Astyanax mexicanus: one gene and its partner. The protein of the gene in region 2 purifies or fractionates together with the protein of the main gene of each other region. This does not show direct contact. Links are inferred from orthologs where the notes say so. Each region holds a gene or a part of one and is shown on either strand. Other genes may lie near its edges.

Evidence for each region.
Region 1: the proteins of usp46 (region 2) and zmp:0000000529 purify together in Homo sapiens (affinity purification with mass spectrometry; 5 studies listed by BioGRID and IntAct, counting the BioPlex papers as one, with this or other methods). This does not show direct contact. The link is inferred for Astyanax mexicanus from reciprocal best matches to the Homo sapiens genes USP46 and DMWD.

What each region holds. Positions count from the first base shown.
Region 1 is NC_064425.1:7,359,240-7,374,777, forward strand, and holds the start of zmp:0000000529 (WD repeat-containing protein 20), read right to left. Parts: upstream 5,946-15,538; 5' UTR 5,667-5,945; coding exon 5,280-5,666; intron 1,388-5,279; coding exon 1,205-1,387; intron 1,093-1,204; coding exon 1-1,092. Other genes in the region: mitogen-activated protein kinase kinase kinase kinase 5-like, read right to left, coding at 9,961-10,057, 10,429-10,555, 11,829-11,921, 12,018-12,086, 13,618-13,795, 15,405-15,508. UniProt on the Homo sapiens protein: Regulator of the deubiquitinating USP12/DMWD/WDR48 complex. Functions as a cofactor that promotes USP12 enzymatic activity.
Region 2 is NC_064408.1:65,037,865-65,053,503, reverse strand, and holds the start of usp46 (ubiquitin carboxyl-terminal hydrolase 46), read right to left. Parts: upstream 5,965-15,639; 5' UTR 5,603-5,964; coding exon 5,567-5,602; intron 1-5,566. UniProt on the Homo sapiens protein: Deubiquitinating enzyme that plays a role in behavior, possibly by regulating GABA action. May act by mediating the deubiquitination of GAD1/GAD67.

The DNA of each region.
Region 1 (15,538 bases), on a different chromosome or scaffold from region 2:
TTCCTTTTCCCCCCCCACACCGGATTTGTCCGATTTGCGCTCTTGAAGCGATAACGTCGCAAAGCGTCCAATGCTAAATGGGGTGCCTCCTCCACCGCCGCCACTCCCACCTGTCCCTCCGCTCTCTGTTGTCCCCTGCCCTTTGGAGGTGTTCGCAACAGCAGGGTGAGGGAGGGAGTTTGAGCGGGAGAGCGATCGAGGTAGAGGCAGGGGCAGCGTCGGGGGCTGGTGGGGGTTGGTGGGGTGATGGTGACCTTCAACTACTCCACTTCCACTTGTGCTGTTCATCCCTCCACTGATGGAAGGTGGCATGTTTGGGCCGAAGGTGTTCGTGAGTGCGCGGGACAGCGGCAGTCGCGGATAGAGAACGTCGTCCGTAAGATCCCACAAGCAAAACTGTGTGTCCTGTCCGACGGATCCAAAACGGTACGACACGGACGGAGTGCCTTTGGAGCTATGGCGAGACAGACGCGATAGGGTGCTGCTAGTACGCACACGGCCAAAGTTTAGTGGCCCCTGGTGGAGGTCCTCTTCACTGCCGCTGAGTTCCATTGGTTCGTCTTCTTCTAAGCTGGTGGTAAAGGGGTCAAAAGCCACAACGTTGACCCACGACTTATGGCCGTGACCTCGCGCCACCACTCGACTTTCTGCAAACGACCAAACAGTGACCAGGTCATCCTCGCCGCCTGTAGCCAGGTATTTCCCATCCGGACTCCAGGAGACACAGAGCAGGCCACCGAAGTAACTCTTCATGACACCTTGTAGCTCCATAGAGTCGAAGTGGAAGACACGGAGGCAGCCGTCCTGGCCAACGCAGGCTACGTGCACACCATCAGGCGAAAACGCAAACTCATTTAGACCGCCTTCTCCCACGGCCCAGCGCAGTAAAGGGTTTCGAGGTGTCTTGGTCTTGCAGGCATAGACAGCAAACCCCTCACCCTGCCGGAGTAGTGAATACTGCGGCGCTGTAGTGCCACATGGGTGCTCCACATTGTAGAGGTAGAGATGGCCACTGGCATGGGAGGCCAGAAACAAGTTTTCTGATTTAGGCAACCACTTTAGACATGTCACTTTAGTTTTGTCAATTAACCTCTGAAATGCAAAAAAGAAATAAAGAGGCATAAGATTTGAGGGCAGTACTTAAACCTCTTATATTCCGTGAAAACGTAATTGCTTTCCATTTTAAGTTGTATAAAACACATACCTCCTCATTAAAAAGTTTGCTGGTTTCCTTCTTGATAGGGTCCAGGTACTGCACCTGCCCAGCAGAGAAGCCCACAATAAGAGCCACACTGTCTGCAGTGGCTGAATACTGATTAAAATCATGGCAAGTTGGCTGTGTCCCTTTATATATGCGCTTATCGATAGGCTTACTAAGGTCCACTGCCTAGAAAGAGAAAAAGTGGGAGACAAAGAGAGAAAAAGAGAGATGAGGAGGATAGAAAGTTGCATTAGATATTGAAAATATTGAACAAATATGAATAGCACTGAATAAATAAACCAAAGTCCAATGTTAAAAACCTAGATAAAAAAAAAAATGTAATCTTACCAAAAAATTTTACAGTGGACAGGTGCCATTTTTATGCCCTTGTCATATTGTATGTGCAAAAATGACAATGTTAGGGCAAAGCATATCTTTTATTTCTACCCAAATCCAGACTTTGGTTTCTTAAAAGCCAACTGATTTTTTACTATACCCAAGGCTTTCCGTTCAAATACCCGGAAATCTTATCTTACTGATGACTGCCAACAAATCATCTAGACTGGGCTTAAAAAGACAATCACATAAAAAAACTTTCTGGATGCTTTAAACTTAAAACTTTAAAACTTTCTGGTGCATTAAATGTGACTAATGCACATAAAAAATGCAGATTGCAGATATTTAAACAATGCAGATTCAACAATGCATTAACTGAATTACAGGGTTGAAACATCAGTCAAATATTTACTCACTTGGAATAATTATCTCCTAACACACAAGATGCTGATATTTAAGTGAAAACTTCATTATGTTAACCATACCAATTATGTTTTGGTTGGACGCAAGAACTACTAAACATGATCAAAACAATCCAGCTCCAGACCAGCTTTTGTTTTGTACCTGGTTTTGGACTGTGTCATTTTTAAAATCCTAATTGGTGTTAAAAATGTGAGTCAAGAACAAGAAAGGGATATAGGTAAAAGGATGACTGAAAATAATGTATAAATCAGATTCTGGGTTGTGCCTCTGCTTTGGGAGAATATTGCAGAACTATAGATTGGATTACAGACTCAACCCTCAACAGGATCATCAAAGTTAGGGTCAGCTGAACAAACCATACTTTAATGCACCGTAAACTATAGCAAAATAATTCTCAACTAACATTGTGACTAACAGCGTGGCCTCAGTGTTGAAGAAAAAGAAGAGTTAAAGAAAGTTGCTCTGTTTTGTGTGGCTGAGTATAACTATAATGTGGCTGGGTACAGCTGGTCGCATCTGCATTACCAACTGACTGTCAGTAAGATAGGTAAGTAATAAACACAAATGGCCAGTTCCTAACTTAAATTAACACAAAAACAAAATGTAGTGTTATGAACACAATTGTTTTAGTTGATCCGAAAGGACAGATATTTTTTATACATATGAAAAATGAATAATCTTAATCTTTTCTAGTTTCCACAACTGGTGGTTTTCTTCAAAACTGTTTTTTCTTTCTTTCAAAAGGAGTCTGCCTCAAAACAATCTAGTACAGTAAATTGCCTTGAAGTTTTGAGTTTTCACCACTTTATTTTCACTGTGTATGCCAGTTGAAAGGCTATGAACTCAAAACTGTCTACTAATGCCTGGCTTGTACTGATATTATTGAAATCTTATAAGCAAAAATTGTTTATTAAGTTTTCCCAGTAATATGTGCAGTCAGAGAGATAAATTTTGATCAGCGGTGTGACTGACACATAAAATGCCTTCCAGCTATTTTGCTTTATTGATGTGTTTGCAGTTGAAGGACATCTTCCTCAAAATTGACCCTTTTAGCACATATTAAACGCAACAAACATGCATTTAACTGAAATTGCATATAGAAATGTGAAAACAACAGTAATATAATAGTTAGTTATATTTTGGTAAGACTGTGGTTAGTCGTGTATTATGTGTATTGGAATGTCTTCTTTGCAGCTTAGCTAGTTAGCTACATATTGAGCTAGATAACAATACTGAATCTTGGTAGGTTAGTTTACACCAAAAACCGAACTAATAAAATAATACGCAGTAAACATCAAAGTAAAATAAATATATTTAATATTTAGGCACTTGCAAACGTCTGTTTGTTTGGTGGCTGTGCAGATCTGCCCTGTCTTGACTATACTAAGCTAACGCTTAGCTAAAGTGCAAATGCCGCTGCTAGGCAACGCTAAGCTAAACTAGTTAGCCTCTGTTTTATACAGTTTTCAGTGGTTTTCTTATATAGTAGAAGCGTGTATTCCGTCTTTAAAGCGTTAATTACGGTCATTAGATATAAAGCACGAATTAATTTCACGCATGTCAGGTTTACAAATGGTTAAAATCGGCGTGTATTAAGCCTAGTTTATCTTAAGGTGGCCTGACTGTGCTACTAGCGTTAGCAGCGCTTAGCAAGCTAGCTAACATCTCTCACTTGGATTTGTGAGGAACGGTGAGTAGCTAACTAGCTAAATACCATAATATTGCAATATTTTAACTTTTCTGCGCTTTATTGGTAATATGTTATTGTATATTTGAGGAAATGTGTGTTCAAATATAAAGAAGAAACAGGAGGATAAACGCCATGTCAGGTTTATCAGCGGGGAAAGGCTGCATTTATAAAGCTTAGCGTAGCTTAGCTTAAGGTGAACTGACTGGGCTATTAGCGTTAGCAAGCTAGCTAGCTAACGTAGCTAGCTGGCTAACTAGCTAACATATCTGCCTTGGATTTGTGAGGAACAGATAGATAGGTTAGATAGATAACTAGCTAAACACCACAAGATCAGGTTGCTGCTGTACAACTGGGCACTTAATAGAGGCTATGTTAACATCTATGCGCTTTATTAGAGACATTTCATTGTATTTTTGAAGAAAACAGCTTAAAATGTGTTCAAATATAAAAGGAGAAACATAGGGTGAACGTCTAAATGCAAAACACATCCAATTTACACTGAAGAAAGGTAGGTTAGATTAGACCCAAATACTCAAAAAAGTAGTAAAATAGTAAAATAACTAAGACTTGTGAATTTCAAAACGTGCTGCAAGCTGTCTCATATACTTAGCTAGCAAACATGCCTGTGGGAACCAGAAAGTGGTGTTAAACATTGACACCATCTGGGTAATGGTTACACTGCACAAAGGGCCTTGTTAGTTCTTAGATGTCTCAGTTATAACAAATGTAACCCAGCTAATTCACTAACTATAAACCTAGCCAAAACCCATGGAACCCATGGGTATAACACACCTATAATCTTTTACCCATGTGAGCCTCTCATATGGGTACCCACCAGGGTCAGTTATGGTACCAGATGCTAGCTACACTGTCAAAGGGCCTGGCTAAATGGGACCCATGTGACATTAGGATGGACTGTAGCAAAAAAAAAAAAGCCACTGGAAAGCCCAACTGGGTCCAAGTTACAATACATGTAGCTAGGAAACAAGCTACAATAAACCTACTCATACCACCTGGAACACACAGCTAGAATGACAATATGCAAACTATGTGAGCCAGATATTTGGGTGTCTACCAGGGCATATACTGAGCCCAATCTGGGTTACAGATACACTGCACACACGACCTGGTTAAATGGGTTCCATATGAGATCAAGGTAGCAAAGAAGCCCACTTGACACCCCAACTGGGTCCTGTTTACAAAACATGTAATGTTTACTGGTTATAAACCCACCCAGAACCCATCTAACCTAACCTAGATAGACCACGTTCCACCTATGTGAGGGTCAGTTATAGACTACAGCTACATAGCTACACTGCACACAAGGCCTGGTTAGATGGGTCCCAAGTGAGATCAAGGTGAGCTGTAGCAATGTGAACCATTTGGAAAGCCCAACTGGGTCCAAGTTACATCATATGGAACGCACCTAACTAGACAACATTTCCCCCACGTGAGCCAGACATATGGGTGTCCACCAGGGTCAGCAATGGGACCACAAGGGGGTTAAACAAGGGCCCCATCTGGATTGAAGCTACACAGAAGCACCTCAGAACCCACGTTCAACCCCTATGAGCTCTATTTGAGCCTGAATCAGTAGCTAGCTACGTCCCCCACCCTTCCCCTCCGCACCTTTTTGATGTTGGTGTAGGTGTAGAAGTAAAGTTCCCTGCCGATGTTGAAGCACACTCGCTCGGACTCCTCGCTCGGGTCCTCCGGCTGCAGTTTGACCATGGAGACCCGCACCGGAGGAAGAAAGCCAGCCGGAGAGGAGCTGCCCCCGGCCCCCGCTCCGGCAGCTCCAGCAGCCCCAGCACCGGGGCCCTGCACCAGCCCAACGCCGCCCACCGTGCCCGGAGCGCCTGGGGCCGCCGCCGTGCCCGCCCCCCCGGGCCCCCGCGGTAAGCCGCCGCGCTGCTGGGAGTCGGACAGCGTCAGCAGCTTGTAGAAACCCTCCCTGGTCCTGAATTGGGACTTGATCTCATTGATATCCTTCAGAGCGCCTCCATCGCCGGCCATCTTTAGCGCAAGGAAACGCCGACTGCCCGACCTGGAAACAGTGGAGCGAGGAGACTACAGCCAGACGCGGAGCATGAGAGGGTGGGATGCGGCGGACGCGGAGAGCCGCAGCCGGACGCATTTGGGTCGCTGGAGGTTTGTGGAGGAGCTGCCCGGGGTTAAAACGCAAATAAGAGGAAAACACCAGCAGAATCACTGCCTCTCATTCCCCGAGAGCGAGCAGATCCGGCCCTAACGCAGCCATGATGTCATGTGTGAGGCGCGTGTGTGTGTGTGTGTGTGAAAGAGAGAGAGAGAGAGACAGGGAGAGAGATACACCCACCCCACCACCATTCTCTCACTACACCATTCAGAACCCTAGGAGGATACATTAACCCTGATTGATAGCAAATAACATTTAAAGCATACATAAAAATACATTTTTGGTTGCATTACATCTATAAACGGGATAAAAGAAAAATAACCTTTATTTAACATTGCCTAATAGGCATCATCAGGCACAGTTTAAATTCTGACATCAAGTCAACATTCATTAAAAGGCTTTAAAGTATTGAGGCTCTTTTACACTCCAATATTTTTTTTTTCCTATTGTAAAGAAACAATAAGTGTTAAGAGAAAAAAAGTATTAAACAAACCAAAATACCACATGCCGCATTTAGGTGGCTCTTATATGGATGGGATGCTGTAACTCTGATGAATATGCTGTGCCAAAGAGCTCTTTGCTCTTTGCCTCTTGCTCTTTCTTTCCTGGGGCGGTCCTGATGAGAGTCAGTGTCATCATGACGTTTTTGATGATCATATTTTTAAAAGGTTTTGGATTGACTGACCTTCATTTCTTAAAGTATTTTTTCTTTACTTGGTTGATGGATTAGAGCATTACTCAAATATGGCTATTCACTGTATACCAACTCTATCTCTTCACAACTTTACAACAGATGCTCTCAAACACACTAAGAGAGCAAGAAATTCAAGTAATTAACTCTTGACAAGTTCAGCACAGCTGTTAACTGAAACTATTCCAGATGACTCAACCTCATAAAGCTGACTGAGAAAATGCTAAGATGAGCAAAGCTGTCATCTAAGCAAGAGGTGCTATTTTGAAGAGTCTAGAAAATAAAACATATTCTGTTTTTACTCTGATTAACACTTTTTTTGTTTATTAAATATTTCCATATGTTTTCTTTAAAGTGTGGAAGTCAAATTTTACTCAAACCATACATTTAAAACCATAAAATTGAATCAACATTGAATCAAGTTATAAGTGACGAATTATTAAATTCTGATGTTTTAGATCACCATTCCTTCAATGCATTAGAGAAGGAAAAATGAATGTTGATTCAAAGAACCTTAGCTTTTATTATCTAGTTAATTCACAGGTTAGTAAATTAAAAGTGGTGTAGTGCTCTATGGGTGTCCTCACAATGGGATGAACTGTATTTTATGTTGAAGACAAAGTAAAATGTTGTGAGTGAGGGCACAAACACAAAGTTTAAAAACACACGTCCATTCATAAACGTCATTAACTTTTGCATCCATTTATATCTTCAGTTTTAGTCCCATGTACACGCCAAAGTCATAAAATGGATGGGCTTTTTATTTTTTTGTCACGCCCTTCAAACACGACTAGATCTGCACCAAGCCTTACTCAGTCTCGGCAAGTTTAAAAAATGCTAATCTTCTAATGCTATGTTAAGTTTCTGATTCACCAGTGTGTTTTTTAAATCATGTTACAGTGTTCTGGCTGTTTTAGCGCATTCCATGCTTACTAAAATCAAGATCCGGAAAAAGATGGTTATGAAAATTTAATCTTGCCGTATTTTCCCTGCTCCAGCACCAGATCATCAGAAAATTATTTTATTCATTTAATCAGGACAAGCTGTTCATATTCAAGGCATTCATACTACAGAATCAGAGACAGTATAATACAGTATACAATCTATAACTATATTTTAAACAAAAGCTATGCAGTCTAACATTTTAGCTAAAAGCTAACAAGCTAGTCACAACATCACCATGTAGTATGGTACCAGTATGGTCCAGAATTAAATGTTATTTTGTTACATTCCTGCAGTAAAAGTCTGTTTTTTAGTATTTAAGTAAACTAATGCCTTAAGCAGCAATACATTTTTAACTCATACTGGATACTGAATAATTAATAAATATTTAAAATATTTTTCAGAATGGTTACTAAATACCTGTGATGAATTGGTGGCTTGTCAAGGGTATATCCTGCCTTGGATTGGCTACTGCTCCCCCAACAAAAATGTTAACAAAAATGTTAGTTTTTTAATATGCTGAATTTGTAGTACATTGGAGTACATACTTTTAGATTGTCATACACACTAATTCATTGATTCTTAGTAGTTATGTTGTACCCATGTTGGGTCCTTAATAATTCACAGTACTCATTTAAACTACCATAATAATTCATACATTTGTCATTTTTTAGAATGGTTACTGACCACTTAATTATGGATACCTAAATATATACAGTATATACATAGTATATAATGAAAAAACAGTAGTTACAGAATACTTAATTGAATTATAATAGGCCTAATTGGAATAATTTATTGTACACATAATTCCTAGCAGTATATGCTAAAACATTCACATTTGACACTAAATAATTCAAAGCAGTTAAAGAGAATGTACAAAACAAGTATGTTTATTATCAATAAAACACATTATAACATCATCTCACTCTTTTCATCTCAGGAAATGTAAAACTGGCACAGACTGTAAGCTCCTTAGATCTTATCTTCAGATGGACTCAGGTGTAAAACAGGTGAGTGCTGAAACAGTCCCTGTCTCAGGTGTGCAGGGATTCTTCAACACACAACAGATTCACTCCTGCAGATTCAGTCACTGTGTGGGGACTTCTAGAATTATCCTGTGGATAATCTTAATGGAAACACCTCAACCTGACAGATTCATTCATGGAGGATGCAGAGCACTTCTGTAGTAACAGTACTTAGTAGCAGGAACTGTTTAACATGTTACCTCAAATACAGGCAAACACATGTTAAGAGACTATACTTCTTCACAAGGATTTACATTATTTTTTTTGTTAAATGTCTCTTTATTAAAGTTACTAAGATGTAAATAAAGTCATTCAAAAACGTATCTGAACCAGACATTTAAAAACTTTTTAAACCGTATCTGAACCAGACATTTTAAAACTCTCTCAAATATACTGCACCAGATAATAAATACACTGTCTTATGCCTGAATAATTATTACCACAGATTTGGGCCTAAAATCTATTGGTGATGAAAGGATATACAGTACTAGTCAAAAGTTTGGACACATCTTCTTATTCAATGTTTTAATTGTATTTGTTTTCCTACATTGTAAACAAATACTGAAGTCGGAAGGAAAACATAAGGAATCATGTAGTAACTTAAAAGTGTTAAACAAACCAAAATACTCTGTGAAGCATTTAGGTTATTTTATCTGGGGTGCTGTTAACTTGTTTCTGTTTCTGAGGCTGGAAACTCTGATTAACTTATCCTGTGCAACAGAGGTAACTCTTGCTCCTCCTTTCCTGGGGTGGCCCTGATGAGAGCCAGTTTCATCATAACATTTTTAATAGTCTTTGCAACTGCACTTGAGGATACTTTCAAAGTTCCTAAAATGTTTTGGGTTGACTAACCTTCATTTCTTAAAGTATTTTTTTTCTTCACTTAGTTGAGTAGTTCTTGCGATAATATGGATTAGAACATTACTCAAATAGAGCTATTCACTGTATACCAACTCTACCTCTTTACAACTGATGCTCTCAAGAGTAATTAACTCTTGACGAGTTCAGCACAGCTGAACAGTCATTTCAGCTGCCTACCTCATAAAGGTATTTGTGTCCAAACCTTTGACTGATACTATACATTTGGACTATAAATAGACTGTTTTTCAAATGAACTTTTCTGTAAATAACTATTTAACACCCATAAAAAAACAACCTGGAAATTGACACTTTGAATACTTTTCGTTGGTGGCTTTCTGTGAACAATCGGTTGTGTGCTGCAGATGTTGACTGAAATTCCCTACGCAGTGAACCATCCAGAAAGAGTTTTAATTGCCAAACACACTCACAACAAAGCAAAGAGGAAGATTATACACACAAATAATGTGTGTGTGGGTGGAGTCAGCAGAAATGTCCAGTGTTTGTGGTGCACACACAGCTACCTGGCTTCTGTTTGATGTCAGTGTCAGTCCACAGTTGCTGGGTAGGAAAATGGTGTGTATGTGCACATATGTATGATGCCTGTGTGTATATGTTTGAGCGTGTGTGTGTTCAGGGAATGAGAACAAAGTTCTCAGCGATCTCCAGGATGTACAGATTACACATTCCTGATTGGTCTTCGCTCTGCCGTGTCTCTAAGACAACCAGCCTATGGAAAGATCAAAAGATACATTTACACCAATGACAGAATTATGTATAACAATTATAACAGCACTAATTCAATACACTTCTATAATGTTGGAAGTAAAGCAGCTGTAATATATATGGTTTTACATTGTTTCCTTTGAATATGTGACAGTAAGTGACAGTGTGTGAAACTACCTCCACCATGTTTGAGGTTGTTCTTTTTCCTGGCTAGCTCTTACTGTGAGTTGTAGATGGTGAAACTACCTCCACCATGTTTGGAAGTTGTACTTTTGGTAGTCTACATTTGGCAGTCTACACTAGTTTGTGTCCAAATCTCTCTTACAGTACAGAATTTGTGGTGAGTCTGTGATTACTATGTGCATGTGTGTGTACCTGTCTGAGCCAATGAGGCGGAAGGTTTTCCGAGGTTCTGTAATCTCCTGTAGGATTTCTGAGAGGACCTCTCCCCTCCTCTGCCAGCCATGTTTCCATATAGCCAACAACGTGTCATCGAAATATACTAGAAAAAGAGAAATTCATGACTGAATAAAGTTCAATAAATAGTGTTATTAATGCAAGCCCTAAAAACAAACATCAGCACTAGCAAAGTGTGGCTCTGGTTCCCCCTTAAGAGCCTTCAATGTAACAAGACCAGTTAAGGCATTATTTTAGTAATCTTTAGGCGACTCATCAGCAATGTTACTTTATGTTGTATTCTGTTTATTATCGATGGAAATGTTGGGTTTGTGATGCTGCATGTCCACGCAACAAGCACGGTGTATGCACTGTGCCAAGATAGCAAAAAACATCTGATTGTTAACTTCTATCTAGGTTGTATTCAGTCAGTGGAGCACCAGTGGAGTTCCTTTTTTCTTTTGATTTACCTAGCTTTAAAGGTATTTTTGTATGACTGTTTATGTTTGCAGTTATATGCACAAAATTTGCACTTTAGGACAGTGGTAGATTTTTTAAAATAACAACATATTTATTTTGTTATAATATTAATGTTTTACAGAAAATCTTGGCGTCTACCAAAGTTTTGGCAAGTTAATGTGGTTTACGAAACAGACAAGGCTGAGTTTACAGATTTTAACTTTCAGTTAGTTTCAGTCAAATATTTTTAAAATAATGATACATAAGTAAAATATTTTCCTGTATATTCATAAAGATAGATAGATTGATATATAAGGATCATCAATATGTTTTTTTTGGCAAATGTCTTTGTGTTTTTTTTGTGTGTGTTTTTTTAGGTCAGCAGTGTTTTTTGCCTGAAACTCTATGGAAACCTCTTTCTTATTTTTTAATCATTAACACTAATATTAACGGTGGCAGTTGAGGTCTGCAGTTCTTTAGATGTTGTTATGGGTTCTTTTGGAACCTCCTGGGTGAGTTGTCCATGCCCTTTTGGTGTAATTTCGGTAGACTGGCATTAATCAGGCCTGGTTGTGGCTAGTGAAATTTAAATCAGTTTTTCAAAAATGCGTTTAATAACAGTTAATTACTTTTTCACATAGGGCCAAATTGGTGGGAATTGCTTTTTCCCTTAAGAAATTGTATTTACTCAGGTTATCTGTCTCCGATATTACAGTTTGTTTGATCTGAAAAATTACAAATAAAATCATTATAATATAATCATTATGGGGGGAGGAGCTAAAGGCTAGACTGTTACTAAATTAGTGAAAGTAAAAAATGATTTCTATCCATATAGGATGAAAATTAATGTGTTTATGTTTGAATAATTTTGTAATATAAATCCAGTGTAATCCCTTAATGCTTTTACGGTGATGACTTACCTACTGACTCCACGTCTAAAGGAAAGCTGATCTCCATGTGCAGTTTCTTGTGACTCTTTATCGCCCCCTCGAGGTTCACCATGTGTACTGTGTCTGTTCAAACAAAGTACAAAACAGTGTTTCTAATAAAGTGTCCAGTAAGAGGAAGCACAATGTACAAAGTGGTCACTACAAATATGTTCTACTTACTCTCAATGAGAACAAGGAGTGTGTTGCTGTCCAACTGATTAAGCTGAACTTTCTCTGCACTTTGAGCCTCTGAAACACACACACACACACACACACACACAAACAATTCATCATTTAACATGTCTGTTCCTTATACATGTTTGTAAATATTCCCAGAGACCCAGATCACTTCAGTCATGTTTTAGAACTGTATATACATGTTATTAGAGTTTCATTCTGATGGATGCATGAATTAATGAACCCAGTTAAAAAAATAAGACAAAATAACATACTTGGTCATTCATTTATTGTCAAAAATAATCCAATATTACATACTTTTGAAAGTCAAAAGTATGTGAACATTTGCTTTCAGTATCTGGTGTGACACCCCACCCTCCAGCCCCTAAATGTTTCCGCTTGGAGGAATTTTAGCTCATTCTTCCATACAGAACAGCTTCATCTCTTGGATGTTGGTGGGTTTCCTTTTATTAACTGCTTGCTTCAGCTTCTTCCACAACATTTCCACTGGATCAAGACTTTGACTTGACCATTCCAAAACATATACTATATCCTTCTTAAACCATTTTTGATCAAATGGATTGGGCGTCTTAGGGTTATTGTCTTGCTGCATGACCCACCTTCTCTTGAGATTCAGTTCATGGACAGATATGATTAATATGATTCAGAATTACTTGTTCCATCAATGAAAGCTGGCCCAGATGCAGCAAAACAGACCTAAACCACGATACTACCACCAGAGATGGGTTAGAGTTCTTATGCTCGAATTAAGTATTCTCCTTCCTCCGAACATAAACCTTTTAATTATAACCAAAATGTTATATTTTGATCTCATCCTTCCACAAAACCTTCTTCCAATAGCCTTGTGGCTTGTTCACGTGATTTTTTGCAAACTGCAGACGAGCAGCAATGTTCTTTTTGGAGGTTAGTGCTTTTTCCTTGCAATCCATCCATGCACACCATTTTTGTTCAGTGTTCTTCTGATGGCAGACTCATGAATATTCATATTAGCCAATGTGATGAGGCCTTCAGTTGCTAAGAAGTTGCCCTGGGGTCCTTTGACCTTCTCAACTATTACACGACTTGCTCTTTGAGTGATCTTTGTTGGTTGACCACTCCTGGGGAGGGTAACAAATGTCTTGAATTTCTTCCATTTGTACACGTTAATCTGTCTGATCATCTCTAGAGATGGTTTTGTAACATTTTTCCAGCCTGATGAGCATCAACGAATCTCCCTTGTTCATGCCATGATATACTTCCACAAACGTGTGTGAATAGCAGACTTTGAGACATCCCTGTTCTTTAAATAAAACAGGCTCGACCCACTCACACCTGATCTTCCCATTGATTAAAAACACCTGACTCTAATTTCATATTTAAACTGACTGCAAATCCTAAAGGTTCACATACTTTACTATGTAATATTGGATCATTTTAGAACTACTGATGATGTTTTAGGTCATATTTATGCAGAATTATAGAATATTTCTTAAGGATTCACAAACTTCCAAGCAACACTGTAGATACTTTATTGATAATAAAAGTTTAGGAAATTAATATTAATGATATTAGAGCTTCACAGTAGTTTGCTATTATTATTTACCCAGACCAGTGTTGGTAAACCAGGATGTGTTGGAGTTGAGGTTGATGTTCTCCATGTGAACAGGCTGTGAGGGGCTCTGGCCCCTGTTAACTCCGATACACACCATCGGGTACTCCTGCTCTGGCACCACCACCATCTCAAACACTCGCAATGGGTTGGGAAGTGGAAAATCAAAGTGCTGTTGGTTAGGACAAAAGAGATCTGGTCAGGAAGCGGTGTTAGCGTGCTAGCTCTCTACTTTAAGCAACATCATTGTTACTTTAGTCCATGTTTCTAAATAACAGTGACTCATAAAGTGTCAGAAACCACATGAACAAGTCTATTAAATCTATCACTGAAGCCCTGCACATGGTTTATGGACAGTTTGTGAGGATATAGGCTCGCATTAAGCTGTGTTCGATTTCTTGTTGAAACAAGTTTGAGTTGTCTGTAGGTGGTGAAGTAAACAGAGGTCATATGGGGGAGGAGAGGATAAAATGAATAGAGAAGTCAGTGTGTGGTGAGACTTGGTGGGTGATAAGGGCTAAAACGGGTGACAAGGTACAAATGTGTTGCCACTTTTGAGCTCCTGGTTCAAGAAGTTTCCAGGGCAACCACAACCAATCATTTCAGAAAAACGATAAGTTCAGATAATGAGTCTCTAAACCACCAGAATAAGCTGGAGAGCAACCGTTGCTATGCTCATGCACTCATCAATGGTCAATCAGTATGAAGGAAAATGTGATCTTAGTGATTCAGGGTGTGGCATACAGTGGCTTGCAAAAGTATTCATATTCATTAACTTTTTCACATTTTGTCACCTTACGACCACAAACTTAAAATTGTATTTTATTGAGGTTTTATGTGATAGACCTACACAAAGCAGCAAGGCCAAGTGGTTTAACTTTGGTTCCATCTGACTACAGCATCTTCTTCCACATGTTTACTGTGTCCTCTACAAACAGCACTTCTTATGTCTTTCTTTCACAATGCTTTTTTTATTGCCACTCTTCCATAAAGGCCAGATTTGTGGAGTGCACATCTTATAGTTTTTCTGTTAACTAATTAAGTCAATTGATTGCACTGGATTTTATTTAGCGGTTTCAGAGTAAAGGGGGCTGAATAAGTTTGCAAATCATACTTTTTATTTTATTATAATTTAGAAATTATTTTTCTTCCACTTCACAATCATGTGCTTCTTTGTGTTGGTCACTTTAAATCTCAATAGAATACATTCAGTTAGTGACTGTAATGTGATAGAATTTGAATAAGTTCAATGGGTATGAATACTTTTGCAAGCCACAGTAATACCACAAAGGATCTCTATTTTAAAGAACATTTCTTCAGAGTGTATTATAATCTATTTCAAATACAAATGCTGGAAACCAGTATTCAGAGCTTCGACACTGGTGCTCTCATGTGGGATCAGCTCACAATGACCCACATATTAGTGAGCTGTAGGGTTAAAAGGTAATGAGTGCCCATGTGAGCGTGGATGTGCGTAGGAGGTGTAAGACATTTAAGGCGTAAATAAGACACTGGTCAAAAGAACAAAGCACAAAAATGTCAAGGTTTCAAGGTGTCAAATATGTCCTATGTTCCTAAAGTTGCAGATATGTTTTGGATCCATCTAGGCTAAAATTTTGGTGCAAATTAAGATATTTAAAATCATCTTTTGAACCGTTCTTTTCAACAACATCACACATCCAATGCAGCAATTCATTAACTCACAAGTCAAGTCATTTAGTATGATAGGATGTGTAAGGGGGTGGGAGTCTATTGAAGCTAAAAGCGGAAATGCTACTGACCTTTATCAGCATGAACTTGTGCATGGGCTCATACCACTGCAGGAGAACCACACTGGACTCCAGCGCGCCGCACAGGAACACACAGCCACTCTGAACATTGTTGGCTAGAAGAAGTAAGAGAATTATGATTAATC
Region 2 (15,639 bases):
ATCCTGAGAGCTTAATTGTGTAGGGTTATAGCCTTTTACTGAACTAACTGAGCTGATGTATTTGTTAGCTCCAAATAGCTTTTCTCAGTCGATAAATGGAAGCAAAAAACTTTCTGGGTATTTTTATTTTTCCAAAACTTACCCAGGCCTGGAAATTGCTATTTTCAAATTCCATCTACGTTTTTTATGACCGTACGGACCCTGCTGGAAGGACGTAATCCATGTACCAATGCAGTTTCACACATTTTGTTCAATAGGAATGAATGAGGCGCCAACTTTTTGGAACCTTTTAAATGTATCAGTGATACAAATACTTTTGTAACCCCTAACACTTAATATTGGGTATCACAGCTACCGCTTGAAAACACCTTGGCAATGATCTGAGACACCACAGTAACAACTTCACAACCACTAACTAATATCACAGAAACTGTCTGACATACCATAGGAATCACCTTGCCACACTAGCATCCATCTAGCATCCACTTATATTTACCACAGCAACCACCTGAGATGCTATAGCAACTACTTGTCAACACCTCAAAAACCAACTAGCAACAAGCTGAGCCACCACTTACAGTAGACCACTGCAATCACTTGGAAACCATTTAGCAGCATTGTAGCAGCACCACTGCTGCAATCTTCTGGAATACTATAGCAAGCACTCAGCAACACCATAGCAACCCCTTAGGAACACCATTCTGGGCAACCATTCTCTTTCTTACAGGAATTTCACTTTTCTAGTTAGTTGTGTTAAAATGTTAAAAAAAAAATCTCTGTTATAATATTGACATACTCTTGTATATCTGAAAATCTTTCTGAAATGCAGGCTATGAGAATGGAAACGTAATAACTGCAACAATTGCCTCAGTCATGAGTGCTACATCCACTTATGGACCCAGTACAACCGATTAATTCTTTATCGGACAAAGTCTTGGCCCAGGAAAGGCTATGGAGATGACCGACAGGTGATTGATGTCAAATAGCCACACTGTGCTTTGTGTGTCTGTAATGACCTGAGAAAGCAATCCAGCTTTTATTCTCTCTGAGAGGGAATATAATTCCAGCAAGGCTTCCATTTCAACCTTAGCAGACATTAAGTGGCCACAGACTCAAAGGTATATAAGTATTGCATTGTGCAGCAGAGACATTAGGACTGTAAATGATCTTTGCCTACAGTAGGAGGCATGTTATACTCATACAAGGGCTATTGAGGTAGCACCAGTTCAAAGGCTTAGAAATAGAACAGTATCATTGTGGAATGGCTATGAATGGACACGCTGGTATGCATTGGTTTTGTAGCAGTTTATGTGTGTGTAGACTTTTTGTCTACAAGAACCAGAATGCTGGACTTTCTTTCTTTCTGTTGCTGCTTCAGCTGCAGAAACAGGGCTGCACAATAGGGAATAAATGATATATGTTTGTTATATTGTGGGGTGTTGATAAAACTCGAAATCTAACACTTTATCAGCAAGCAAATTAAGTCAAAGGCAACATTAAGACAACATTAGACAGTGACATTACACACATGTCTAGAAAAAAGCTAATCTGATACACAGCTCCAGCTTCAGGTTATGTTTATGATTACATATTTGCTTTGGCGTTACCAGTAATAAAAAGGTCATTACATACTATGTGAAGCCAAACCAATGAGAGCAGTTTCCCAGACAGAGATTATACCTAAGTTTGGACTACAAAGGTTTTTGAATCTAAAAAGATTCTCCATCTCTGGAGATTCTCCATTGAAAAAAGAATATAGTGAACGCTTATAGTGTAAGATTAATCCCTGTCCAGGAAATAATCCTATCAGGAAATACTTGAGGAGAACACAAACACATAGTGATACACATACTTTAACGAGACCCCAGGCCAGGCCTGATCATGTTAGATATCTCAATTAGATTTTCAATTAAAAACTAAAAGACTACAGCACTCAGCAGTGTTACACAAACATTAAATGGCTTTAAGCTCATTGAGGCCTGAAATTACAATATGGGTTTTAAAGATACAGACAGCCCCAGCTTTATAAGCATTACCATTCAGGACACAGCACCCATCACTGTAGCTGTAAACACTGATGCACTGCATAAAGCAGCCACATCTCTCATAAACGAACAAGTGGCAGCCGATAGTTCCATGAGCAACATTAAAGGGCAGTCTGGTCTGTGCAAAGCATGGATGCTACCATACATTCCATTAAATTATGCATTAAACATATCCTATTCACCGCCATCACAGACACATTACCTGCACTCACCATCTGCCTGTCTGAGTAAGGACTGTAATACTGGGCAAATATTCTGGGTTTCACACTGTGTTGCACTCGAAAAGACAAGAAGAACTGCCAAAAGTCTACACTGAAACATAAGTACTGCATTATGCAAAATATGAGTTTATTTTTTAGAACACTGAAAAACAGACAGTGCCAGAATTTACAGAACTATCATTAAAACTAAGGAATATCTGTAAAAAAAAAACAAAACAATAACAATAAAGTATTGCTGACAAACAACGTCCTCCGTTTAATGCTACCAGCACCATGTTTGCAAGAAATCATCACACAGTGCTGATGTATGATGTATGAGAATAAAGTGACACTGCTATTCAGTTTTCAATTAATGTGTAATATAATAGTCATAACATATTGGTGTAATTCTTGGCAAGAGGTTTGTTTTAAGCTCTTTATGTGTATTTTAATCCTTAGATCCACAAATATAAAGTTTGCTTTGATAGAGCAAATCTACAAAATGCACAAACTAAATAAACTTTCATATCTGGAAATCATCTGCCTGATTAAGGTTACGTTTGCTACTGTGTGATGCTCTTTACAAGCTGACCAGATCAAAACATCACAAAATGCAGTGATGCTTTAGTAAATATAGTGATACAGTTTTTTTTTAATCATATAGTATTCCTGTCCTGCAGAATTGCTTCTACATTCCTGAAACATTTATCAAAATAGATAAATGTGAAAAAGATATTTGATCATACATATGTAAGCAGAGAATCTGATGATGAGGCTTGCTTCCTTTGAACAGGAACTGAACTGCCCTACAAGATGGATTTTCAGGAAAAGATTCAGGAAGCAGTCTTCTCATCTAGTGAAACTTGAGAAATACTTTACTGAAAAAGAAAAAAACATGAAAAAAAGGCTTTGCAGTCAAATGGTCTGGCAATGTGTACAGATTAAGAACTCTCTCTGCTTGCTGCAGGCTGTCAGCTTGGCTCGCTGCTTAACTTGCTCTGGCACTTCACCTGAGCCTGTGCACAGCAGGTCGCCACACATCACTCAGATCAGTTGAGTTTAATAACTGCCAGACAGCTTAACGATCAGACAGCGCCAATGACTGAGCACTGACCTGAGCCCTGTCTGACTTTTCTATTATTCATTTAAAAAACTCTGGATTATATTGGGAGTTTCTGATGTTGACATGTCTGCTTTGCAGCACCTGTGATGGCCCCGTAAGGCTGGTTTGCGAAGAAACTGTTTACTATGAAAACAATCCAAGCTTACTGCATAGAGCATATAGGTATAGCTAAGTTTATCACATTGGTGTGACTTGTACACCTCAGAGATGTTCAGGTGTGTAACTAGCTAGTCCACTGTCTGGTCTGGAGTTCTTAATGACAGTCACAGTTTGCTAGCTACAGTATGAAAAAGAAACACGGGTAATCCTAATGAAATTCTCAAATTCAAATGTGAGTTTCAACTTATTGCTGCAAATAATGAATATTTTGTTATCTTACTAATCTGATAATCTTTTTTTTTCCAAATAGTCGATTAGCCACCGATTTCTGCCACCCTCTCACTAAGTTTTATCTCCCATGTTCAAGTCTGTGCACTTGTGAATGTCACCCTGTTTTCCAGTCTCTACCTTAACATTACACAAGTTTCCATAGGAAATTAAAAAATAACCGATAAAACGTGAATATAAACTAAGGCTTAGTAGCTTAAGCAAATGTAACTGTTTGAAATATCCCGCCCCTTTGCCTTTTAGTCCCAGCACTTTCTGTAGTGTGGTGCATTTACAAACAATTACTCAATATTTGGATCCCTAGTTTCAATGGATGTCAATGTGGCTCTTCATGTCTGCCCATGCATAACATGCATGACCACAGACTCCATAGGTCAAGCTTGTTAAACTGGTTTTCAGCAGCATAGGCTTAGTTTTAGTTTAAGTACTATGGTTTAGCTGATCTATAAGCAGGACCTGACCAGGTTAGACAACCAGTATGATCAAGCTTGACCATTATGGATGATCAGCATGCCCAACCAGAATGACTAGCCTGCATATCCAAGGACGGCCCAAATGCAAAAATCAACAGCAGGCTGGTCATGTTTTCGCCTGGATGTCCAGCTTTTCAACCACCTTAACCCCCATTGACCGCTTAGACAATCTGAAACCAACTACCAGCAACAAAAACTGGTTTTGAGCTGGATTTCTCAAGACAGTCATCATTCTCCTCCTTCTTTGACAGCAAAAACTGCCTTTTGGATTTCCACATTTGCTAACTAACCTTATATGTCACTGTAGTTGTGAACTAGCTCATACAACTTCCATTAAAGTTAAGGATTCAGGTCTGTGGGAGTAAAGCTAGGATATCTAGCTAGCCAAGTTAACATCTACTGCAGATGTAATTTTTCTATTTTGCATATTACCATCTATTTGCACTGCTCTTATAGTGTATATCCTTATTTGCATTTGCATTGCTGCTCCTAGTACATGCATACTGCATTTCTCTCTCTATATATATTTACAGCTCTGGAAAAAAATAAGAGACCACTTCAATTTCTGTATCAGTTTTTCTATGATTTTGCCATTTATAGGTATACGTTTGAGTACATTGAACATTGCTGTTTTATTCTATAAACCACTGACAAAGATGCAGAGCTTTCAGACCTCAAATAATGCAAAGAAAATAAGTTTATATTCATAAAATTTTAAGAATTCAGAAATCAATTTTTGATATAATAGTAACCCTGGTTTTCACAGCTTAACAGCTTTTATATATCTTGGCATGTTCTCCTCCACCAGTCTTACACACTGCTTTTGGATAATTTTATGTCACTCCTAGTGCAAAAAATTTAGCAGTTCAGCTTGGGTTAATGGCTTGTGATCACCCATCTTTCTCTTGATTATATTCCAGAGGTTTTCATCATTTTTAAGTGGTCTCTTATTTTTCCAGAGCTGTATACTGCACTTCTGGTTAGATTCTAGCTGCATTTAACAATAAAGTTTAATCCATTCTAGTTTAACACTACCTGACCTAGGTTAGCTCGCTAGCTAGGTTATATTAATGGCCCAACCAAGCCAGCAACTCCTTATTAACCTCTCCTAACCTACATTTGTCCTAATAGAGAAACCTACGCAGCAGGGAATCTGCACGTTATCATGTTAGCTGGACGGACAGCCCCTGCACTTGCTCCCGCTCCCCGGATCAACTCGAGCCTCGACATCAGCATCCCTGCAACCAGGCAAAGCGCTCAGCTAGCCAGCTAGCCGGTGACTAGCATTCATGCTAGGTTAGCTAACCTATCAATGGGTGCAGAGCTCCGTGTACTCACCATATTACAGATGGAGGCGATGTTTCTGACAGTCATTTAGTTCACAGGGTTCCCCTCGCCGACATCTTCATAAAACAAACATCACTGGAGAAGCTGCAGAGCTGAGAGCTGTAGATGATCCGCAGCCCAGCTGGACCAGGAGAGGCCAACCGCAGTGCCTGACGAGCCCTGACTCACAACACACTGATATTATAACGTTACCCCCTTAGAGCAGTGTTTTTCTCCACTCAGAGCCAAACAAACCCCCCGTCTAAAAGACAAACATCTCCAAAACAAAGCTCAATTCATTTTAGTCGCTAAAATCGAGCCGTTATTTTGAAATTCTGAGAGAAATCTGCAGTAAACATCACTGCTCTTGGCAGGTAACCTAGGTTAACTAGCCAGCTAGCCAGTCAGGACGCCCCGCCCACGCCCCGCCCACTCTGACGGCGAGCCGCTTTGAAGTTAGGGTAACCAGGGCTGGCTTTACTGTGATTGACATGCTGTTCCACCAATGAGAGCCATGGATCCAGTTCCGCAAACGCCCAGTGTTGTACACTGTAGCCAATGAGAGAATATTCATTCAGGAAATTATTGTGTTTTTAAAATGTGTCAAATAAACTACATATTAATTTCTGTTTATTATCGAATTATACTTATATTTAGAATACAAAAAAGGAAACGTAATTTTAACGTCTACTTTTAAGAATAAAAAAAATGTAATTACATTTATCTACTTTTTATTTTAATTACTTTACTTTAAACAAGCGTGTAAAATAAACATGACAGTAAGCTAATTATATTAAATATGTGTTGTTCATCAAGGATGTGAACAGTTAGTTTAGCTAACATAACATATGTTATTCAGAGGAGTCCTCTGTATGTGTGTAGTGGATCCAGCGCGTGCCTGTGTCTTTAAAAGTCCCATAATCCCCCTCTCTCTCCTCTCTGCTCGTTTCTCCCTCCTCGAGCCTGACTCTGGTCTTTCTGTTCTGCAGCTGAGAGCAGATGGAGCTGTGTCTTAGGGCGTGTTTGGAAGGTGAGAGTTTAGAATACCAACATTCATGCTGTGTTTAGATGTTAAACCTGTTATCAGATCTGCATCATTAAATCAGCTGCGGTTAGGTTTCATATGGATATATTTGTTGACTAGAGAAGTCAGAAATGTGCTGCTAGCTCTGGTAGTTAGCACTGCTAAATACTTCTGGTTAGATTATCGTTAGAGTATCTTGTTAGCTAACTAGTTAACTTAACTTAACTAAGTTATTGTTACTTAAACTTGTATTGGCTGCATGTAAGTGCGTTGGAAAAGTTTTATATTCTAGGCTGTAATTTTTTTAAACCCCATGAACACGTGGGAGTTGTGTGGTTGGGCCTACTTTATTAGCTACCTAGCGGTTAGCTTACCCATGTGGTACAGGTAGTTAGCTTACTACAAGATTTACGTTTTTATTAATTCCACAGAAACTGTAAACTATTGTCTACTGACAATAGTTATAATTATATTTATAAATATAATTATCTTGGTTTTGTCATTTGTGTTCGCAGTCTTCATGTTACTTCAATGCCTGTCCTTTCTGATATTCTAGGTTGGAGTTCTGAACCACCTGGTTAAGTGGTTTTTGAAGCTTTCAATGAGCACTACAATGGTAACTGCAAAGGTTAGGGTGTTTTTATTTTTATTTATTTAAAATCGAGATACATACCCCCTCAGTGGAGCTCATTTAAGACCATGCATGTCCTTAATGATCAATATACTAGGGGTAAAAAAAAAAATCTCTCAAAAACCTATGGCACAGGTTATAGTCCTTGCTGTGGATCCTGTCGGGAGAAACATGTCTAATAATTGACCTAAAAGTTTTAATAGTTAATCTTCTAACAGTAGCTGATTTTAAATGTGATTTCTTTTTCTTTTTTTCTTTTCTTTTTTTGTCATCTTTTCAGAAGTGGCTTGCAAGTGTGGATTCAGGCTGGAATAATGCCCTCTACACAAAACCTCAGGTGAGTCTTAGTTTTTGCCTTTAAATGACATTTTAATCTGAGTCATTCTTACTTCTCTGCATGTGAGGTAGTTTTTCAAATTTGATATGGTCGTTTACACAGGAAAGCTGTCCTGGTTTGTAGTTGGAACCCAGCACTTAGTAGGTAAAATTAACTGCTTAAGAGAGAAAGCAACAAGACTAATCAAATTTAGTAATGTTTTGGAAACATGCACACAATTATCCCCTTTATTGCCCATTTAGGACTGGCCATGTCTTAAATGGATAACACAGGGGGGTAGACTAATTCTCTCAAAAACCTGAAGTGAAGGCTTAATATTCCTTGCTTCGGATCCTGTCGGGAGAAACATGTTTTTATACGCATTAAAAATCAAAGATTATTACCAGTGACCATTCTAATGTGATTGCCTTATGTTTGCAGATAAGAGGTATGCAGATGTAGCCCCTGTCTGAAATGGGAGGTGTCTTGCACAAAGCTGGTAAGTCCTTTTAGAAATTGAGCTTTAAAGTTGCTTATACTTGTTTATCCCCTTTATTGCCCATTTAAGACCAATTATGTCCTAAATGATTAACACAGGGGGGTAGAAGAACTCTCTCAAAAACCTGAAGTGAAGGCTTAATATTCCTTGCTTCGGATCCTGTCGGGAGAAACAAAGTTTTCTTAAATACATTGCCAATTTTCTCAGGTTTGAATTCCTCTAAACCACCTTTATTTACAGATGCTGGAAAGACATGTGGATTGTGGCTGTTGCAGTAGGTGACCAGGTCAAGTTAGTCAGGTAAGCAAATTAACTTTTTAAAGGAATTAAACGAAGTTTAATTTTAAAGTTTAATCTGTTCATGCTCTAAGTTTCTGTATCTAGTGGTCATTGATTCTGTTACAGACTTTAGGGTGAGTGGGGGAAAGTCTGAAACTTAAAGTTCTTAAATGTCAAATCTGTTGAACCCCAGTAGACTATTACTGAATTTTGGTGCAAGATAAATCTGATGCTTTGTCTATATAATCCATTTCTTTTCTTTACCAGAATCTGCCTTCTGAGCCCTTGGATGCAGTGGAGCCCTGTTGATGCTACAGCCTTGACATTTGCCACAGCCTGTAATTTTAGACCAGAGGTCTTTTGCTCTGACCTTAAATCTAGATTGGAAAGTGCCATTATTAAAAGAGAATGAGAAGTTGAGTAGTGTGGGATATTTATTTTATTTTATTTTTTTATTTTTAAAATAATTAGTTTCTCCTTTTCTACCTCAATGTATTTTTCTAAGGTTTGATTGAAATTATTTCGTTGCCCCTTATACATTGACTTGTACAGCTTTGTATAACTTATGCTTTGCATGTATATGCTGTTATCATTACGGTTTTATTCCAAAGCCTATGATCAGACAATGTCTACGTAAAAATAAAGTAATGCTGGAACCTCAGTTGTGCCTGTGTATTTCTGATGGGCTTATAAACCTGGCTTGCAAATTGAAATATTTGTCCTTTCAATAAGGTAGGAGTGCAAGATGTGTAATGTAGTGACTTAACATCATGATGCTAAATTTATTAATCATGTGCTAGCAAAAATGTCAAAGTGTACAGTACTAAATGGTACTGTACTCAGAATCTTCTCTTTAGAATTATTGCCATTCTCCATTATTGATTTTAAAACAGTGTCTTTTTAATAAATGTTGTATTTTAGTAGTGTAAATGCTTAGCATTGTCTTCAAAAGCCATTTTTAGCCGATCCTGGGCTCGAAAGCAGCTTTCACACTTGATCAAGTGTACCTACAGAAAAAGCACACATGGGCCCAAAAGAAGAGCCTTGATCACAAGTGATTTGAAAAGGGAGAAGCACTCACTGTGTTGGGCCCTAGTGGTGAATACACTTAATTATGTGAAGCTCTTAATCATGGTAAGGAAGCCTATGTACTGATTAAAAACAGATTGTGGATTTGTGCATGCAAGTGACCAAAATGAACGCACATCTACATCCCAAAGCTGGTCTTACTTTTTGTGATGAGGGAAGCTAGGTGTAGAGTTGCTGCTCCTTTGTTTTGAGGGGAGTCAGTTGAAGCGGATTAGGAATCTGAAAAGGATCCCTAGTCAATTTCTAGTGGAGGTGTATTCAGTCTGACCACCTGCTATGAGACACAAGGGAATGCTGGGGATGTGGTAGAGGAAGGAAGTGGTAGTAGAATGAGCTGGGAACAGGGTTGTCTGGGTCTGGGCTCTTTTCTCACCTTAATTTTACTGCAACCATGAAATGGATCAAGCGGATAGGAAGATTTATAAAGAAAAGATTAAGAATATGTGGATCCCAATTACAAGCCTTACATTGCCTATCATGACGTTTTATAAATGCTTATTAGAAACTTAAAATGCTTGACCCCTACTTCTGCCATAATCTGCCCCACCCAACGCACTGATCTCTTGTCTGGCTGAACGAGCGCTCTTACAGTGCAAATTAAGTTCAAATTCAGAAATCCTCTGAACCAATTTTACAGTCCAGTTTATTATGCATTCTTTATTTCAGCACCCTACGTTGATTTTATCTCCCCTCAAACATACAAGTATATACTATTATTTTGATTGACATTATCAATATACATATAATTGCGTTCTTTCTTTGATTTACATTTAAATATCCACTATAAAAATATACATCAGAAGAAAAATAAATGCGTTTAATCGCAGTTAATCACAGAATTTTGTTGTGATTAATCTGATAATTTTTTTGAATCCATTGACACCACTAAAAAATATACTTACCTGGTTGTTGTCCTTTGAGGGTCTTTCTTCTTATTCTTCTTTTCCTCGTGAATGGCGGTTGACAACGACTTTGGTGTATTACCGCCACCGCTTGACTGGAGTGTGGAACAGTAGCTGCCTCTTCTAAGAAATGAAATGCGTCTAATTAGACCTGTCTCTTACAGAAAAGTAAATAAAACAATATAAAATCTTTCCAATATTTCTTTGTAAGATATTTTTTAGACTGAATGCTGTGTCATTGGCCTCTACTTGTTCAATCAGAGTCTGTCTCTCTTGCTGGAATTTCCTACAGTGAATTAGGACATGCTCTACAGTTTCTGGGCTTTCCATACATTATTCACAGGTACCATCAACATGCCTGTTCATTCTAACAAGAGTGCTGTTCAGCCTACTGTGCCCCACCCTCAGTCTGGCCAATACCACTTCCTCTCATTTTGTACCTTGGGGGTCTTTCTGGGGAATGGTGGCCATCTTAACTCCCCTTCTTGTAGTATCATGGTGCTCCGTATGTACTACAAGATGGGGGGGACTTCTTATTGGAACACCTGGGGGAGAGAAAAGTTAGTACAAAAATATGTTAATACTTACCATCTAGTGAAATTTCCAAAAATCTGTATGTAAGTGTGGTGTAAATAATGTCGACATTGATGTATATTTGTGTGTGTTTGTATATATTTGTGTGTGTATACCTTTAAGTAACCCTACATAACCCTGTAGTAATGGTATGGCCCAATTGAGGAAGGGGCGGAGCTAGAGGTATATGAGGGCAGGTAGAGACACTTGTGGGCAGGGATTAATTTTGTCTAAAGCACTGCTGATTAAAAGGGCTAGTATTTGCTTGTGTGGAGTCCTGTGTTTATGGTCAGATTTGACCAGTTTTATTTCTTTTTGTACAGAAAACGCCACTTTGGTGTTGGAATTGACCTGAAGGTATTTTGGCTCTTCTTTCTGTGGCGAACCCCGCTTTCTCCCCCCCAATTATAATGCTCAAAAAGATAGAACATCAGCTAACACCTTATAAAATGTATACACAATATTGAAAAAAGAAAAACAAAACACCATTACCTTGGATCACCACAGACTTTTTTTTTGATCCCGCTGTCCACTACCTAACACTCACCTCCACTACCACAAGGGAAACCTTTTTACAAGGACGAGGACAAGATTAATTTGGACCTTCAATCCTAACCACCTTACGCTGAACAATTGAGATGACAGGACCGCAACTTAATTCTAGCAAGACTTTTATGATTTTATCCTGACACTGGAAATTTGTTTGTAACAGTGAAATTGCTTAAAATCATTTGGTGTAAGAATATTAAAAGTTGTCCTTTGGTCAGCATACTGTTCACACATACAAATCTGCAAAAACACAAAGAAAGAGAGAAAGTGTGAGGGCTATTTCAGGGCAGATCAGATCTGTTAGACTGGAGACCTCCATGACTGATCTGTCACTACTTCAGCACCGCTAAACTGCAGAGCTGTGTGTGTGCAATACCAACATAAACCTCCCCTGGTGTCCTGTCTTTGTAACACCATAACAAGAGCACTAAGACTGTACCTGTACACTCGTGAACGTGCGGGAACATCCTGGCTAATGTACTGAGAAGGTCATTGAAATGATTTTTTTTTTCAAGCAACACCAGTTTAAAAGAATGCTGGATGTGTAAAGGAAAGCTGGGAATGGGCAGATATGTCTGGCTGTTTGAAGTTGTCCAGGATGTACCAGTGGTTTATTTGAGAGCTCTGAGATTGGCAGCTCCACACACGCTTTGGTTTGTTTTGAAATTCTTTTGACTGACAGCTGAACAATTAGAATGGTTGGAGACAGTGTGTCTCTGCAGTACACTCTGTTCAGAGCAGCCCGCTTTCAGACTGCATTGTAATTTGCAATGGTTGTGGATGACCTGTTATTCCCCCTTTTAAGCATGTGAATGTAATGCATTAATGCAGAAACCTTCTCGCTAGATTTTGCTCTAAAGTGCAAAGTGATGTTGAGCACAATGGAGGAAAGGAGAGAGTACCCTAGGTACTGTAAATAGGAGATATTGAGTATATAGGAGAGAGTACACCAAGTACATGTTCTGGAGCAGCATTTTTCTTGTGTGCAGAATATCCAGCTTTACAGTATGTTCTAGCCTAAGCCTACACATATGTATTTTACATACACAGTATAGCCAAAGGCTTTTGAGGAAAGTTAGTATGTTTTTGTTTGTAAACCACATTGAGGTGCACATTGAAATCTGCCGTGATTTGTTCAGCCGTGGTTTTATGTTTTTTGGATACAATCCGGGTTAGCACCCGAACATCCCTTTCAGACAGCTTCCTCCTGCGTCCACAGTTAATCCTGTTGGATGTGGTTGGTCCTTCTTGGTGGTATGCTGACATTACCCTGGATACCGTGGCTCTTGATACATCACAAAGACTTGCTGTCTTGGTCAGAGATGCACCAGCAAGACGTGTACCCATAGTTTGTCCTCTTTTGATATGTCACCCATAATGTTGTGTGCATTGCAATATTTTGAGCAAAACTGTGCTCTTATACCCTGCTAATTGAACCCTCACACTCTGCTTTTACTGGTGCAATAATGTGCAATTAATGAAGATTGGCCACCAGGCTGCTCCAATTCAGCAATGAAACCTCCCACACTAAAATGACAGGTGTTTCTGTTTTATTGTCCAACCCCTGTATATTATGATGTGGGAAAAAAACATCTAAACAGCTCTACAGATCTAGTGCGAAACTATTTGTCCATTTTTGTGTGCTTTACTGGTCCTTGTCATGGTAAATAAGAAAAGTCTCTTAAATGACTATGATTATGATTATTAGAATCTAAATCTATTGTAATGGTAACTCTAAATACTGGGCTTCTATGCTTGCTATGCATTTTGTATTCTCCCTTGCTATTTTAATAAATTTTGTTTTTGTACAGGAATCATTTTTTTGAAAAATATTTTACAAACATCTGTCCTCCACAGCTAAAAGGTTCAAGAAAGGTTAGCCTGTAATGTGTAACAAAATAAAGGTTTGTATCACAATGTTATTAAAACATTGATCTCATTACATTCCCAGCTAGACAAATAATAATGTTATGGCAACGTTAAAGGTAAAATTCCCAAAACAGCAACAAAAAAGTCTAAACATTGACGCAAGTGCCGTTGCACAGACGTTACCAGAACGTTCAAATATGTTAAAAAAGTTCTAAGAACATCCAGAAAACTAGACCGATTGAACATTCTAAGACAGTTAACTGTAACATTCAGATTTTTTTGGTACTAACAAAAACTTGTTAGCTGGGTCATTATCAGTTGTTCTTATAAAGAGATTTAACTTAAACCCCACAATTTTTATGTCTTTCTTATTTTGAGATTTTTTTTATCAGTTTATGAGATAACAGAATATATTATTGTAAGATCAGAGCTATGTACAATTCTGTGTTTTTAAAACAAATAATTTAGTTTTAGACGTTTCACTCAAAGACCCCTTTATATACAGTACCAGTCAAAAGTTTGGACACATCTTCTCATTCAGTGTTTTTATTATTTCTTTTTCTACATTGTAAATTAATATTGTTAATTTATTCAGTTACCCAGAATATGAAGGAACACATAAGATATTATGTTTTAACTTAAAAGTGTTAAACAAACCAAGAAATAGGCTGTGAATCATTTAGGTGCTCTTATCAAGAGTGCTGTTAATTTGGGATTTCTAAAGCTGGTAAATCTGATCAACTGATGAACAACAGAGGAAACTCTTGGTCTCCCTTTCCAGGGGCAGTCCTGATGAGAGCCAGTTTCATCATAACATTTTTAATATTTTTTGCGACTGCACTTGAGGATACTTTCAAAGTTCTTGACATTTTTTTAATTGATATTCTTCCCATAATCTGGATTAGAACATCACTCAAATAGAGCTATTCACTGTAAACCAGCTCCACCTCTTTACAACTGATGCTCTGAAACACATTAAGAGACAAGAAATTTAAATAAATTAACTGTTGACCAGTTCAGCACAGCTGTTAACTGAAAGCCCTTTTAATGTGACTCTACCTCATAAAACTGACTGAGAAAATCCAGCCAAGATGTGCAAAACTGTCATTTTGGCAAGAGGTGCCTTACTTTAAAGAATCTAAAATATAAAACATATTCTGGTTTGTTTAAAAACTTTTATATTTGCTAAATAATTCTATATGTTGTTTTTCATAGTTTGGATGACTTTAGTATTAATCTACAATGTAGAACATTTTTTTAAAAATAATTTTATTTCAATTTTTTTCTCCCAATTTTCTCCCCAGTTTACTTATTTCTTACCCAACCCACTATTTAGGACTCCCCCTATCACTAGTGATGACTAGCAAATGCCTCCTCCGACACATGTGAAATCAGCCACCGCCTCTTTTGAAACTTTTTTTTTTTTAATTACTGAGTAGCATCAACTCTTTTTAAAAATTACTGAGTAGCATCACAGCACGCTTGGAGGTAAGCGCAGCAACTTGTTTCTGATACATCAGCTCACAGACGCCTTGTGCTGATCGACATCACCCTCTGGAGTGATGTGGGGAGAGAACGCCATCTACCCACCCAGAGAGAGGAAGACCAATTGTTCTCTCTCAGGGCTCCGGTAGCTGATGAGTACATATTTTAAAAGGTTTTAAGGTACTGTATAACCCATTAAGACTGTATTTTTTTTATTACAACAGACAATTTTGACACTTATTATAAAAAGTTATGAATTTATTGTATGTGGTACTATTTAGACTAATACAATTATTATGACACATGAATGGAGAAGTCTTATAAAGTACATACAGTAGAAGTCATTTTAGCATTTGCATTGCAGCCATATTTTATTTTTACAATGTTTTGTTTTAACAGGAGTGATAGTTTTGAGTAATACTCAGGGTTTAGACTGTAATGGAGGAGTGGGAGCTTGGCTGGATTGTTCTGGGCTGGGCTGGCAGTGACTTGTTTTGCTGCTCTGGGTTGGGTTACTGTGGCATGTTTCAGCGCTGGGTTTTGATGTGTTTAGATGGAGGGGGTCAAGCTCAGGTTACGCTGCACGTTTTTGGCAGAGAAAAAGGGTCACTGTGGGGGATCAGACCTGAGCATCCTGGACACCTTTGTGAGGAAAAACAATACAACATATTTGACTCACACATACACACAGACAAAACATAAAACACCCTGTGACATAAAAACACATTTACAAGGAGACTACAGCAACCATAGTACTTTATTAAGAACACATGTGGCATTAGTAGTACTCGCTATTATGTTGATATCTTTTATTCTAATACATAACACAAGCTTCACCTTTCACCAACATTACACACACACACACACAC